Linked DNA regions of Drosophila melanogaster. Changing the gene in region 3 together with the main gene of any one other region gives a genetic interaction. Each region holds a gene or a part of one and is shown on either strand. Other genes may lie near its edges.

Evidence for each region.
Region 1: of ex (region 3) and pyd, changing one enhances a phenotype caused by changing the other (phenotypic enhancement), as found in Drosophila melanogaster (one study listed by BioGRID).
Region 2: of ex (region 3) and Schip1, changing one suppresses a phenotype caused by changing the other (phenotypic suppression), as found in Drosophila melanogaster (one study listed by BioGRID).

What each region holds. Positions count from the first base shown.
Region 1 is NT_033777.3:8,862,211-8,867,284, forward strand, and holds the start of pyd (polychaetoid), read right to left. Parts: upstream 2,139-5,074; 5' UTR 2,032-2,138; intron 1,324-2,031; exon of another isoform or gene 1,292-1,323; intron 796-1,291; exon of another isoform or gene 784-795; 5' UTR 573-783; coding exon 1-572.
Region 2 is NT_033779.5:10,329,107-10,334,180, reverse strand, and holds the start of Schip1 (schwannomin interacting protein 1), read left to right. Parts: upstream 1-3,064; 5' UTR 3,065-3,101; intron 3,102-3,588; 5' UTR 3,589-3,601; coding exon 3,602-4,189; intron 4,190-4,249; coding exon 4,250-4,706; intron 4,707-4,770; coding exon 4,771-4,859; intron 4,860-4,918; coding exon 4,919-4,985; intron 4,986-5,045; coding exon 5,046-5,074. Other genes in the region: GATAd, read right to left, coding at 1-106; Cox10 (cytochrome c oxidase assembly factor 10), read right to left, coding at 1,210-1,442, 1,507-2,193, 2,251-2,434, 2,500-2,571. UniProt on the Drosophila melanogaster protein: Regulator of the Hippo/SWH (Sav/Wts/Hpo) signaling pathway, a signaling pathway that plays a pivotal role in organ size control and tumor suppression by restricting proliferation and promoting apoptosis.
Region 3 is NT_033779.5:428,796-433,869, reverse strand, and holds the start of ex (expanded), read right to left. Parts: upstream 2,644-5,074; 5' UTR 1,753-2,643; intron 1-1,752. UniProt on the Drosophila melanogaster protein: Activates the Hippo/SWH (Sav/Wts/Hpo) signaling pathway, a signaling pathway that plays a pivotal role in organ size control and tumor suppression by restricting proliferation and promoting apoptosis.

The DNA.
Region 1 (5,074 bases), on a different chromosome or scaffold from region 3:
TCCCTTTCCTTTTCGCCACCCCCTCCACCGCCGCCCATGCAGCTGGTTATGCTCCGATTGCCCACACTATTGCTACGCGATCGGGATCTGGTCTTTTGCTTGCCCAGCCAGTAAACCTGATTTGCCAAATTTATTTCGGCGGCTGCCGCAGCCTTTCTTCTGCCCAATTGTTGTTGCTCCTGCACCTGTTGATGCTGCTGCTGCTGTTGTTGCTGCTGCTGCTGTTGTTCACTGGCCAGATATTCGCCGGCTATATGAACCTTGGGTGCACTAACCAACTGCAGGCCAGTGGCGCCGAATTGCTGAGGGAATTCGTGCAACTCGAGGGGGAAACGGGGATCCATGGTCTGACCCGGTTGACGCGGGTACATATAGCCATCGCGTAGAAACATCTTGCTGGTGGTATAGACCCTATCCGCGATTTGGTACACTCCACTCGAGCCGGGACCCTCGGCGCCGCCAATAATTCCATTTCGGACATAGGCTGTCGGGCGATAGCGAACGAGTGGGTTATATACATTCGATTTGGGGGGTTTCGTTTTGAAACTGCGACGTCGCGTGCTGGGCTTCATATTTTTGTTGTATTTAATTTTCGTTTTTGTTCGTTTGTATTTGCACCCCGCGATAACAGAATGTTTGCTCTACAGAAAATCCACCCTTGTGCTGTAGGTTGCTTGCACACGTATCAAATGTTTTCGAGTTTAAGCGTGCTTGGAACAAGCGACCGTGTGGCCTAATGGATAAGGCGTCGGACTTCGGATCCGAAGATTGCAGGTTCGAGTCCTGTCACGGTCGAAACCAAAGTATTATTTTTTTTTTGTGAGAAACTTATGTTTTGTTCTTTAAAAAATTCAATTTGTTGCAAACTAAAACCATAAAATAAATCAACAAAAACAACAAAAATTTTAAGGTTCACTTGGCTAATTTTACATAAAATCTACACTGTCTTTAGACTGACGATAGAATGTTTTATGATTACATGTAAAATTAGATCACGCAAAATTATATTTTTTTCCTTTGGAAATATATAAAAAAAAAAAAAATAAAACCAGATTAGTGTTTCAAGGGTGTTGAGTTAATTTAGAGACTTTTTGTTCTTTTTCAAATGTAATTTTCGACCGCGTAAAAGTATGCTATAGATATGGTTGAATTATTTTTCATGGCGTTCTTGTTTAACAGCGCACAAAAGCAGGCAACATTTGTGTTTTTAAAAACGCCTGAGAGAGGCCAATAAAAAAGAGATAAACCCTATAAACTATATTGAAAATAACCGATTTTTTAAGGGTTTTACGCGACCAACACGTTCGGCACACTGCACGTTCGATTTTCCACTGCAATTGTTTGATTTTATTGCAACAACTTTTTCTGCTTTTCTGTTGTTTGCTGGAAGGCACGCACTGCCAATCCAATTAGCCGGGGTTCACCTTTCGAGCCGTCGTCTTTGCGCAAGGTAAATTGTTTTTCGAACCCAAAGTATTGACACAGTTTGCGAGTCACTTGTTTTGTTAGACACATTCGTCTTCCTGAACTGTCAACCGAGCTGTCATATGGATGAGACAGAATGGAGAATAGAGAGAAAGAGAGCCATGCTAATCTGTCAACTCTGAGTTCGTTAATTAAAGACTGATTTGGCAAATAATTGTGGCTTAGCCCTGATCGACCCCAATACCAATTTACAAGCTCAAAACATTGCAAAAACTCAAAGGTACCCCGATTGGGTCAATGAATGTGCGGTCTATTGAACTTTTGATAGTATTATTGACGCCCCTTTTTCACTTAATGATTGCGAATTGAGTTCAGCCGTCGGAAAATACTTTCAAGGTTATCTTACAGGGATCATAAATATAATATCCAAATTTATAGTTAAAAACTAAGTGGAAAAGATGTGGCCAAATATAAATCCCTCTGTCTAAGTGCACATTTTTCTTGTTTAATATATTCAAATTTTCCCTTTCTTTTATCACTTCTGTCACTCCACTTAATTCAATGGCCCTTCTCAGTTTCAATCTGTCAACTTCCTATTATTTCCACCTTATCTGTTTGAGGTTTGTCTTTCTAACACTTCCGCCTACGAAAATCGTTTATTTTTGGTGTGGATTTCTTTTCGTTTCAATCGCGACGAGGCTCAAATACGAACTAAACTGAAATGAATTCAATGAATTTGAAGAGCCTATCGGACACGAGAACATTTTCCAATGGATAGCGTTTCCAGCCGGAGAAGAATACAAGAACAAAAGTGATTGCGATAAAGCTTGGACTGAGCTGAGCAGAGCCCAAGTGAAATGAGACGAAATGAGGGGCTTAAGCCAAACAAATACACCCCTTAAAAGCGTAAATTGTGAAATGGGGCAGATGTTTGGGGGAAAAAACCAAGAATGAAAAGGTTTGAACGATGAACCTCGAGCTATTTTAAAACCACACCCAAATATTTAATACATATCAATCAAGTTCTATGATGTTATGACAAAAAATGGTTTGAGAAACTCTATTTTGTTTTAAGAGGCTCCAAAAGATTTTTATGTTTCTAATTCCATGGAAATACGTATATTTTCTTTGCATAAATCATTGTACTTACAAAGAATTCATCTTCGATGACGGGATCGGCCAGCATCTCAATGGCCTCCGTCATGGATCTGCAGGTGCGATTCGTGTTCTTCTTCTTCTTGAGCTTCCGGCCCAAGGTGGCGGCATCGCTGAAGCGATGAAGCAGTTTGTCCCTCTTCCGGACCGCCAGCGGACTGGTCGTCGAACTGGCGTGACATAACAGCGATCCGTAGCCATTCGTAGAGGATATGGTGCCAGTATTAGCGTAGAAATTCTGCGGTTGATATTGCGCCGGAGCAGTGAGTGTGCTGTTCGAGTCGATTTTCTGTATGAGATTGTACTCGGATTGGGGATATTTGCTGGCCAAATGCGATACAGAATCCGCTTTGGAACCCAATTGCGGCTTGGGTGGCGGCGGTGGCGGTGGATCCTTCATCAAGGCCACCCGACGGGGGGCGGCGCGGGGTATGGTGGCCGAATGGGGGGAGGAGGTGGCGTCACCGCCATAACTAACAGCGCGACGATTGCGATCGTTTTCCTTTTCCCTGAAAGGAAATTTAAATTTAATTTATTAGAATTTTCAATGTATGTTTTACTTGATAATAATAGAACTAAATATGTTTTAAGTACTAAACACAATGTAAATCTACCTATAACGCCTCCTCTGCATCGGTGGACTAAAGAAGAAGTTGGGCGACAGGGGTACAAAGTAACCCCATTGGGGATCTCGATTCGGTCCCTCATGATACATGCCCAACTGGGGCGTCATCTCCCTGGATCGACTGGATCTGAGAATGGGCATGGAAACCCTCTGTGGTCCGAAACTTCTATTAGAGCGATACCGATTCCTATACATATGACGCTCCAGTGAAGATGTGGTGGTCGTAGCATCCGATTCCAGGGTGCAATCCGAATGATCCTTGTTCTCCAGGGTCACATTACTGCCCAGCTCATCGTCATTATCATCATCATCATCCGTGGAACACTCGGGCACCGTATAGCAGGCATAGTCGAATTGCGACATTGTAGAATCGTTTTTCTTATGTCTTTATTTGTTTGGCTTTTCGTTTGCACACACATTTAGTTCTTTGTCATTGTGTCTTTGCGACTCCCACGTAAAATGTTTCAATTATTTAATTAGTCTGCAACTTGTTGCTGTTTTTTATTTGAGTGCTTTACTTTTATTTTTACCTGACAAATGTTAAATGACATTTTCAGTTGGTCTGGCACTTAATTGCTCCACTAGAGTTTGGTCATGTCTTGGATATTTTCTGGTGGCAAAAGAACATTATTTAAGGCATTTATCATGTTCACCCTCTGGACAATTGTGCTTCCCGCCAGAAAAAAATTTCAGGGGTTGTGTATGTCCAGTGGGCACAATTAAAAGTCGTTTTCGGCCTCTGTTGAAAAGTTCGCCTAATGAGGTGTTGAACGGAAGACGTTCTAGTTATGATACTTAACTTGGCCACGACTTTTTACAGACAATTTACTACGGTCCGAAACACAAAAGAAATCAGTGGGAAAGCTAAAAGGGCATTTAACCGAAAGTATTTCATAATTGTTAAGTAAAATGTTCTTTTAGGAATCTTATTGTTAATTTACTATATCTGTATGTATGCACGAAAGGCAAATTTAACTTTGCGGCCTGGCTAGCTAGTAAATTTGCAGACTAAACGTTCATTATTCATTAATGGGGTGAAAAAGGAAAGTGTCAACAGTGAAATCCATCAACATTGCAATTAAAATGTCAAACAAGGAAGTGACTGAGTGGCAGACTCCCGTTTAACCCGCACTTCCTATATACCAAACCAACCCCCCACTAAAAAACGAACTCCACATTATACAGAAACTCTCTATAAAGAGGCTCCATCCATCCATAATGATGATGCAAAAAGTGATCCCCGAGGGGAAAATGTGTAACTGGAGAGTCCAATTGCAGAATTCACAGACAACGACACTCCGGATATGAAGATTACAACGGATTTGGGTTGCCACTCCCGCTGTTGTTTATATTTATTTTATTGTTGCAATTATTTTCCTCTTTACAGCATAGAATTGCATATTAAACGTGATTAATGACAAACGAGAGAAATGGGGGAAAACAGCCGGATGGATAGGCGCGTAGTATAAAATGATGTATAATTTTTGATTGCGCAAAGGAAAATTAGCATATGAGGCGCCTGTGTTTATGGAAATGGTGAAATCAGTCAGAAAAAGGGGAGCAAATCATTTGCATGGCTGGTCGCCAATTCTAAAAAATGTTTCAAATTATTTATAGATAATTGTTGAAAGCAATTATCCTTATTATTTCATTTTTTATTATTTATATTTATTTCTGTTACTTTTTATTTCAATATTTAAATATTTTTCATTGCTTATTTGTTTATGGCGAGTCCATTGTCCACACTGCTCACTGATTTGCTCGCGTAAATCATTCTAAAAATACTTTGATTGGGTCAGCGAATTTCCCAGTAATTTTCAAAACATATCCCAATTTTTCTGTACTATATCATTTACAATTGTTAATAAC
Region 2 (5,074 bases), 9.9 Mb from region 3:
TATGCGACGAATTATCGTAAATCTGTAGTACTGCAACATCGCACTCGTTAACCAATGTGAGGCACAATCGACAAACTTGACGAAACTTATGTGGTACATTATTCATAATTAGAAATTTATATTCGTTTTGCACTGTGTAAAGAAACTTTCATACGCCTCTCCTTTATCGCGATAAAAAAGATAACTGGTAAAATAAATTATAAAATGAATGTAAACACTATTCCTCAATTTTTCATTGTCACAATCCACGTTCAGCTCACTAAAAATAATTCACTCCAGTGGTTCGCCACAGATTTTTCGCTCATTTGATCTAGTTTCCCGTTCAAATTACCAAACGAGGGCTCCAGCGATAGTCGCGTTAGCTGCATGATTCATCTCGGCATCGCGATAAATCAGTGATTATGCTAATGTGCTTCTGTGATAAAACATCAAGGCTATTGCAACACAATACAAAATATTGTTCTTTTCATTTGTAAGACCAACGCATACAGCAGAGGAACCAGTGAAATATACTGAAATAGGGGCAACTTTTTGGTATTTCTGTTATCGATAACGTACAGCTATACTCATTTTTAGCTAGAAATTTTTGACTATTTATCTGACGGATTTTACTATTATTATTAAAATTATTTCAATTGCGGAATATAGTTCCTAAAATAGCTAGAATACTTATCCCTAGGAAATGCGCATGTCGTTTTTTAATCTTGGAAAAAAAACCCTCCAAAGGAATAAACTCTGGAATCTGAAGAAGAGATGCCTTACAATGCCTTAAATAATACGTTCGATTCGATTGCTACAATTTATCAAAATAAAATAGATTTAAATTCCTTATTTTCAACAACCGATGAAACAACGGGAAACGGGATTACTTCCACTAACAATTTTTACCGTTTCCGTGCTTTTTTTGAAACAAGTGCTCAAAGAACAATATAATAAGGTCATACTTAGAATCTTGCAATTTAAATTACTGTACGGCTTAAGATTCCATGCCAAATTGTATATTTTAAATTTATTTGTATTCAGCGCCGGATTGGTTACACCGCATATTTTTCAAGGATGTCGTGTCATTTATTAGGCGCAACATATATTTGCCGCACAGGGGTACGTGTTTCCTTAATATTAAATGACTGTTTTTACAAGTTGCAGAACACTAAGTATATTTAAATTTCACACGATACTTAACATTTTATCAAATTAATGTTAATATTTCTATCTGGGTCCTTCGGCTACGGCGACGGGCAGGACATTACCAAGACTGCTAGCAGAATGCTTTATCGCACTGTACGTGGACTCCTTTTTGTTCTCCTCACCGGCGGGTTTGCTGAAATACCATTCCTTCTTATTGGTCAGAAATAGCAGCATCAGGGCGGGCAGGTGTATCAGTGAAAATCGGAACAGCTTCCGCGAGCTCCCACTATCTGACTTTTCATGAAACTTGTACGCTGCAAGCAAACAGAACGTATTAGACATAACATATAGGATTCCATGGTTAATGAGTATATTTACCAAGGTAGGCGAAGTACGCGTTCAGAGGTAGTGTTTCCAAGGCAAACCAGTAGTTCGTGACGTCCAGTACGGGTGCCATGGCTGAAAGTCCGACAATAGCCACCGAATATCGCAGCGCAGTGCGGCGACAAAGACCCGGATTGGTAACGGCCATCATTCGGTAGCCGGCACGTGAATAATCCGGCCGGAGGTTCCACGACAGAGCGTTGAAGTGCGGGAACTGCCACGCGTACAGCACTCCGGCTAGGATCATGGCGCCGGCGTCCAGGGTGGCTGCACAACCAGCCCATCCCATCAGCGGAGGAATGGCGCCCACTATCGATCCCACCCAGGTATTGACTATGCTGATACGCTTCATCGGTGTGTATATCGTGGTGTAGAGGAACAGGTTACCCGCTCCCAGCGCCGCCGTCAATCCATTTACTCCGAAATACAGCATACTTAAGCCGGCAGTTGCCGACACCGCGGCGAAGGTAACTGCATGCAGTGGTGTCATTTGCCCCGTGACGAGCACCCGGTTCTTTGTCCTCGACATCTGCGAATCGAAAGGAACTTCGTGATACTGATTAATGGCATTCGCCGCAGCCGAAACGAGTCCTGTGCCCAGGGTGCACATCGCAAACGTTGTGGGATCGAAAGCAGCTGGCGCCATGGCATAGCCGCCCATCGTTGTAATGACCACCAGCGCTGCAACGAAAGACAACTATGGTCGATGCTTGGCCAATGTTTAACCATCTCGCTTACATGTCAGCCGGAACTTGGATAGCTTCTTGTACTGGCTAAGAGTTTTTCCGGGCATGGTGTACGGACTAGGCATCCAGGTAATTTGACTATCGGGTAAATGCTGGACCTTTCCCGCCTGGGATACTGGCGACGCTGTAGTGACACCTTTGTCATCTTGGGAAGCTATCGTTGCTGCAGTGGAGTACTGAAAATTATTGGAAAGTTATAGTTTGTTATAGTGGTTTGTTGCGTAATGGCCAAGAACCTCACCCGAATGAGCACCAAATCAACCGGCGTTCTTAGCTGGGATTGCACCCGCCGAATTCCTTTGAATAATATCATTATTATTCACTTATTAGTTAGGTCTACGGTTATTTCATTTTTCTAGTTGTGTTTGGATTTCTATTACTTTTATATACAATGTTATGGTTTTTTAAATCACATTGTGCTTAAGTGTTACCATATCTCAAAATGAGAAAAATACTGAGTGCAAAAAATTTAATCAGAGGTATTCATAAATTGTTGGGATTGGGATTTTTTAAGAACTTTGAAAAAAACATAGCAAAAAGTTTTAAGCCTATTCCTTAAATAATAATAATATAAGTTTACATTAAAAGAAAATTTTGTGCCATGGTAAAACTCAGAGACATTTTCAGTTTCGATTTTTAAGTTGTTTTCTCAGTTTTTGCATATAAAAAAATAATAAATAATTAATAAATTTTTTGTTCCTTAGTAAATTAAATTATTTGTAATAATATTTAGTATTGTTAACAACACTATATACCAAGATTTGCGCATGCGTCAAACGTGTAATTTGCTTTATATGTGTGGGAGTAATTTTTACATCTGAATGCAGGAAGGCCGAAGTCCTTGTAAGTCTTCATTGATTCAATAATTAACATTTTAAACAAACGGAATACATTTTAGTTGTTAACAGTCGAAACAATCGTTTAAATAAAGCAAATACAAGAAATTATAATTGCAAGTAACTTTGACTATCTTCAGATATTTCTGTTACAAAAATTTGCACCTACACCAACTTTTTTCGGCTTGATTCTTGTTTCTCGATTTTAAGAATATACAAAATGTCAGTTCATTCATGTGTTGTTAAGGACAATGTAACATCTAAACACATATGAAGTTAAATACCAAATTGACTCTTAAAGTAATTTATAAATACGATAATGAGTTGAACTAAAGAAAATAGTGGAGTGGAGATAGTGGTGTCCTTTAGCAAGTAAAAGGAAATAAGAAAAAAACCATTTTATTGCTTTTACTATGTTTTAATTATGTTATGTTATTAATACACTGTAGTTGTAATCAATATTTAAGTCATCTAAACTTTTTTATTTCTTCTAGACAACTTATTCCAATGCCCATGCCAAGAATGGATATCTATATAACAAAGGGCATCACCAACCCCAACTACCCAGGATTTCAAAAGTTCGCGCATACCCTTTCCGATGACTACATAGAGTACTCCGACATGGAGTGCAATGAAAGCGATCTAACCGACAGCGATAGAGAAGATGACCCAACGTTCCCAAGTAAGATGGCCAAGGAATCGGGCTCGGAAACCTTTAAGAATGGCCAAGATTCGATTTTAAGTAACTGCGACAATGGAAACACATATATATCAGAAGAGGAAAGCGTGAACCGATCGGAAAACATTCCGGATATTGTAAATGAAAACTATAGTGCAACGTCGGAAAACTCCAAGCGAGCTTTGCAAAAACCTGACCTTATCTACAATCTAAGCCAGAATTATACGACCAATCCTGAGTTTCCATCCTGGTCATGTACAATTAATTCGAAATACGAAGGGCAGTTGCAAGGCCAAAGTCCTATCGATATTGTTGGTGATTTTGGCGGAGAAGTGGAACGTGAATTCGAGCTACTTCTCACTGGATATAAAAACAAGAAGGAAGCGGATGAGTTGAAGGGATCAAATTTAGATAAGGTATGTAGTTAGTTAAAATAAAAGAGATCAGGCACGTAAAAGCATAATTGTACCTTGCAGATTTGCGATGCAGAACTATCAAATGGAACGGAGGCTCTTAAGCAAACATCCTCGACGCGATTGTCCGGGAATAGTACTCGAAAAAATAAAAAGAAGAACACACCGTACGGACATCAGATCGTGAAAACGAAGCATCCAAAGCCGTCTCATGACGAACGTCAATTGCCACCGGACACGTTCGACTACAAAACGTATAGCCAACGAAAATATATCATTTGTGATGCTGACCAATACTCGTCCGTTCCGGAAAAGAACAAAAACGATAGTCCGAACCTAAATCAGGCTGAAATACCCAACATGAGCAGCTTGGAAATCGGTGGAAGTGGAAGCCAGCAGAATCTGGACGAGGACAATAACAAGGTGGCTAGTCGGAAGTACTCAAATCAATCGCGCTGGTCTCAGTACTTGGAAGATCCCATCAAGTACTCCAAAGATCCATGCTCCACCATGGTTTTAGGTAATTTCAAATATGAATTAATCGTTATAGATTCTTGAGTATATTAATATTTAAATTTTTATAGAACAATTTGATGCGTACAAGATTGCAAACGATATGGATGTAGAAACATTGCAAAACCATTATAAAAAGGTTAAACAGATAGAGAAAAAGGTAGGTACAATATAATCGGAATAATAATATCATTTATTAAATATATATTCCAATTACAGCGGCGATTCAATCGAGATGAGATACGCAAGAGATTGGCAATCGGAGATAAAGATTCTTTAAATAATGGTAAGACCAAAGATATTCTTTCATTACTATATTTTCTTAAATATTATATTTTATATTTAGACATTAAGAAGGAGGAATTTCTAACCGGA
Region 3 (5,074 bases):
GCAGCCAGGGCGGAGTGGGCCAAAAGAAAGCAGCCCACACGTCGTCGCTCGGCTTCAGTTGGCTAGGCACCACAAAATCGCACCACATCGCACCACTCTCCTCCACTGCGCACCACACCCCGCAGACGCGAAATGCCCAACTGGGCGAACGAAGGTGGTAACGGTGGCGGAGGCGATGGCCTCCACAATGAGAGCAGCAAACAGCAAGATACAAAAACAAAAAAGAAGCCGCAACGTGTGCCGCATGCCAAATCGGAGGCGTGCGAAACTATGCTGCCATAATACCGTAGAAAAATTAGCAGTCCATACAGGGTATCTTGGGTTAAATGAATGCGCTATAATACGAGTAACCAATAATTCTAAAGTTTAAGGTATTTTGATTATGGCTAGAATAATTCTTTGACCAATTCTAAGTAAAGAGGCTTTTAAGTTTTTGCCTATCTGGCAATATGTTGTTGAAACAATATTTTTTTACGAGCATAGAGATAAGTACATTTTTTTAATCCTCGAAGGTCGTTCATTAGTGTATCCTCTATATCTCTGAGCCAGCCTCGACTCCGATTGTCATTCGAAATTTGTTTAATTTGTTGTACATTTTAATTGCCTGAATTGTTCGAGGCAATGAGCAACCAGAGTTTTCAATGTTCGCACACGCATATCAACTGCGTGCAGGAATTTCAGTTTACGAAATTAATATTTTGAGTTTGTATGATCATTGCTGTTGCTGTTGTCAGCTTCAATGCAAAAGCCCATTGCCTGAGGTCAAGTGTGATGTGGAGATCAAGAGATACGCACGGAGATGGAGATGTAGACGTCAGTGCTCAATCGAAAAAACCACAAGCGAACTAAAACTACGATCCGGGGAATACATGTGTACTTGCCGAGATATAGATACGTCTGTCCGCAGATACAGTTACCCATATGTATATGATTGCCTGGTGGCAAAATCGTTTAACGATTAGCGTTTAACCGCTTAAAGCTTATCGACTGATACCCAAAGCGTGTGTTTTCACCCGTTTGTTTATCTTTCGCTGATTTACATTCAAGATGTCTGATTGCCAAGCGGTTTCTGATTTCAGCAATTGTTCCAGGGATCCCGATGGACGGTTGAAATTCCAAACCCGGGAATAACAATAGAACTCTGTGGAGCTTCCATTTTCACTTAATTGCATCGCCGTCGATCGTTCTGACAACCGTTTAAGTCGCCTATTAGCCATAGAACCTATCAAATTGACTAGCTCACTTGGAAATTGGATCCCGAGATAAGTGAAACCCTGTGCAAAGATACTTTAGGGCCGCATAGAAAATGTCAAAAAAAATTAATTAAATGTGACCGGTATTTAAAAAGTCGGTCAGGCCTACTATATAACTACATATGTATGCACATGTGAATGTACATATATATTTGACACAATAGTACTCTAAACAGCTTCCCCATTTCAATATACCCTCCGTAGAGTGTCAAGTTTGACTGACATTTGATATTCCATGGCCCGAAATGGGTTAATTGCACAATTCGCTGAATTTTTGACTCTTAGCGGGACGCAAAAAAAAAAATTTAAAGAAAAAAGCTGGCGACAACAACGAAATGTTAAACAATCGTTGGACGTTGGCGATTTTATGGTTGACAGATAAGAAATTTGCTGGCATTTGTTTTGTTTGCCGTTTTCAGGGAGTCATTAAAATTCCGGGGAAATGGCCCCATATGGGTACACCACTCTATATCTGCACGTGTATCTGTCCTTTTCTTACCTTAAGCCGCTGCAGAAGTCGGCATTGTTAATGCTGTATCTGTATCTGCTTCTGTTTCGGTTTCGCGTAATCCACAATAACTGGCTTTTTAATTTTGGTTTGGTAGTTTTGTTTAACTAAAGCTCACTCTTCGTGCACTCTTAAAACCGATCTATTGATTTGGCTATCGATAAGTGCCTAACAGTAAAATTTTCGTTTCGTTGTTGTTACTTTCTGACCTCTTCCACTTCCACGACGCGCGCTGCGACTGCGCAGTCAACAGCGATCGGGTCGCATTCCAGCGTCGCACATACTTTAATCAAAACTCACTAACACCAGAACAATTGCACACGCGGGCGAGCGCAACTGAGAGTATCTGTGTGCGTGGAGTCGTTGTTGTTGCGCGAAAGAATGCCGTTTGCTGGGTTGTTGTTTTTGCTGTTGCTGACTGCTTTATTTGTTGTAGTTGTAGTTTCCAGTGGGCAGTTGTTGTTGCGGCTGAATTTTTTCTTTTTGACCAGCACCAACTTTTCGGAGTTGACTTCAGCTTTTTTACACTACTAGTCGTAGATATTTTCGTGGTTTTAAGGCGCGTTTTCCCAAAATCAGAACTAGTTGCACCAACACCAACAAAAATCACTTTTGTAATTGAGGCGAGTGCGAAAACGAAGCGCGCTGTTTTTGTTTCAGTGAAAACCGAACTTCACTTTAAGCAACTGAATCTGTGTAGCTCTGTGTGTGTCTGGGCGATCTGGTGTGCGTGCGGTGTGCATTTAAGATCTGAAGAACAACTTTTCCGAATGTTAGGTCTCGAATAAATTCATTAAACCGAATTTATATTTCCCAGTGGAAAGCACATGCTTTGCTGTCCCGACGATCTGTTCGGTTACCGTTGACGTTTAGCGATATACTGATTTTGCCCCTGCTCAGCGAAACCGAACACAACGAAGATCGAGTCGAGATTTCGTTAAAACTTAACGAAGCCGCGTTTAACGAAAAGAGAGCCCAAGAGAGAATTCGAATTCGAAAGAAGCGCACACAGCGATACACAAACCCGATGGCAACAACAACAACGGCTACGAAAATGTAAATAGCAATAAGCAATAAAAGAAAAACAAACTTCAAAGGAGAATCCCAGTAGCCAACTACATAGTGTGTGCGTCCGTGTGAGTAGTGGAATTCCAATGGCTTATCTCGCGAGACGACGATTCCGATTCTCAAGGGCTTAAAGGATACCCTGTTAGGATAGCAGATTTAAGTAAAATGCATATGAGAATTTTAACAAAGGTACCTTTCTTTCTAATTCTGCTTTTTATCACATGCTATCTTGTAGTTTACATTGTATATTACAATTACATTATGAGTTCTATCTTTTGGCATTCACTTTTTGCCAAACTATGGCGGAAGCCTATTGGATTCAAATCTAGCTTTCAGTATCCCTGCGCTAGCCATCGATGCGACTATCTTATAAATAAACTCTCTGGGCAAAACTCCAGATACAGATGCACTGGACGAGGGAGAATCGGAATCGGAACTTGAGGGTCTGAAGACTCTGCCTCTATCGGCGTCCTCTGCTGCTACGATATCGTCACTTGGGCGCATTCCTCAGCATAATGTGAGCTTGATTTGCTGGATTCTTTTTGCTCCCTCTTCCCTCTTTTTCTCTTCTTTAGATTTCCTCCTTTTCATTTCCCCTCCTCCACCTCTTCAACCATCATTTGCTTCAAATATGCGGCATACACACGCCCCACGAAAGGGCGGGGATCAGTGTAAGCCAAGTAAGGTTTTAACCAGTTCGTCCAAGGGGCTACTTAGAAAAATCCACAGAAAACAAAATTTAGATTATATGGAAAAAAGTCTAAATGATATAAAAATCGTAACTAAACACAACCAAAAGACTATATAATGATGATCGAAGTTGTGCCCCGGTGCCAAACCCTCGCTACGCCCCTGAAGACCCGGCCAAAAGTCGAAGACTCAGAATTGGAGAGTCAAGGGGTCGGGGTCGGGTCGTCTTGCCATGGACATAACTTGTTGACTGAAGTCAGGGAAGTGGTGGGGCAGGGGTAGAAATTGGGCGAGACATTCCGGTGAGGCGGGGTTTCGATGGGAACAACTCGCACAGCCTTTGATTTCTTTGAGTGTACTTTGCGTTGTGGTGTCTGCTATACCCTGTTTGGGATACAACGGGAAGAATTAAAAAAGGTTTGTAGGTTTCAAAAAAAGTACATGCCACTCCTGGGACAAATTTTGAAAATTTCTCTATTGACAAGCCTATGGTGTAAGGGAATTTGAGTAAAGGTAGTTTGTTACCCACCGGATCAGTCTGACTACAAGAGATCTAGAGTACTTCCATCTTCGACTTGAAGCCCAAGCTTTTCATTCTTGTTTTTTTTTTTTGTTTTGTGGCTGTTCGTTATTCTTTCGTCTTTGGTCGATCGCTTGGTCGCTGGTTCTCTAAGACCGGTTGTTGTTGTTGCTGTAAGCAGCCTTTTGGGAACTACGTTCTTGGTCAATATCGTGTAGATATACATACGTTCTATATCTGTGCTTGTGTGTGTGCGAGGTTTGGAGCCTGGTCGAGGCCGAAGTTTTGAGCGAGGAGAGTGAAAAAATAAAAAAAGAACGGCCAAAAATGTTTTATGCAATTCCTTGAAGTCGATTTCAGTCTCCAGTCTCCCGGTCCAGAGAATCGCTTTTGCGGAATTGGCGCGCATTTCTGGCCTTTTTTTTTGGCAAAGTGATCTTTCAGCCAAGAGCAGCTGCCATTGATCCTCTTTCTATTCAAAATTCCTCGTGCTCTTTGCGGTCTTGGGCAGAGCCAAAGTCGCTGGCGATGATGATATGGCGAGGAGGCCAGGAATTTATTGAATAAGTTGGCATATGACGCGGGTACCAACCCACTGATGTGGATGTGGTGTGTGTTGCTGTTTCTGGCGTGTTTTCGCTACGCTTCACTGCCAGGCGATGGAACGTCGATATCGCCGATTGTCGCATACCCCTATCCCTTCTGTTAAAAGCCCTCTCCCTGTCATAGTCTGGATGAGTAAAATCTTATTGGCATAGCAATGGACCAGGCTTATTTGTTGGCCATAAAAATTTATAAATTACTGAGCAATCTTGAAAATGTTCTACCCTCTTCAAGCACTTTTAAAGCGAATGCAAGCCCCACTCAACACCCAACATTGAACACCTTATCACTCGCGATCGAGAGTATCGTAAGCTTCGATGAGTTGACGATTAGGTTTCCGCTTCGATTCGCTGTTCGATTCGATTCGCTTTGTTTTCAATTCTTTTTATTATGGTCAAATATTTCTGCTGGCCACGATAATGTTAATGGGCC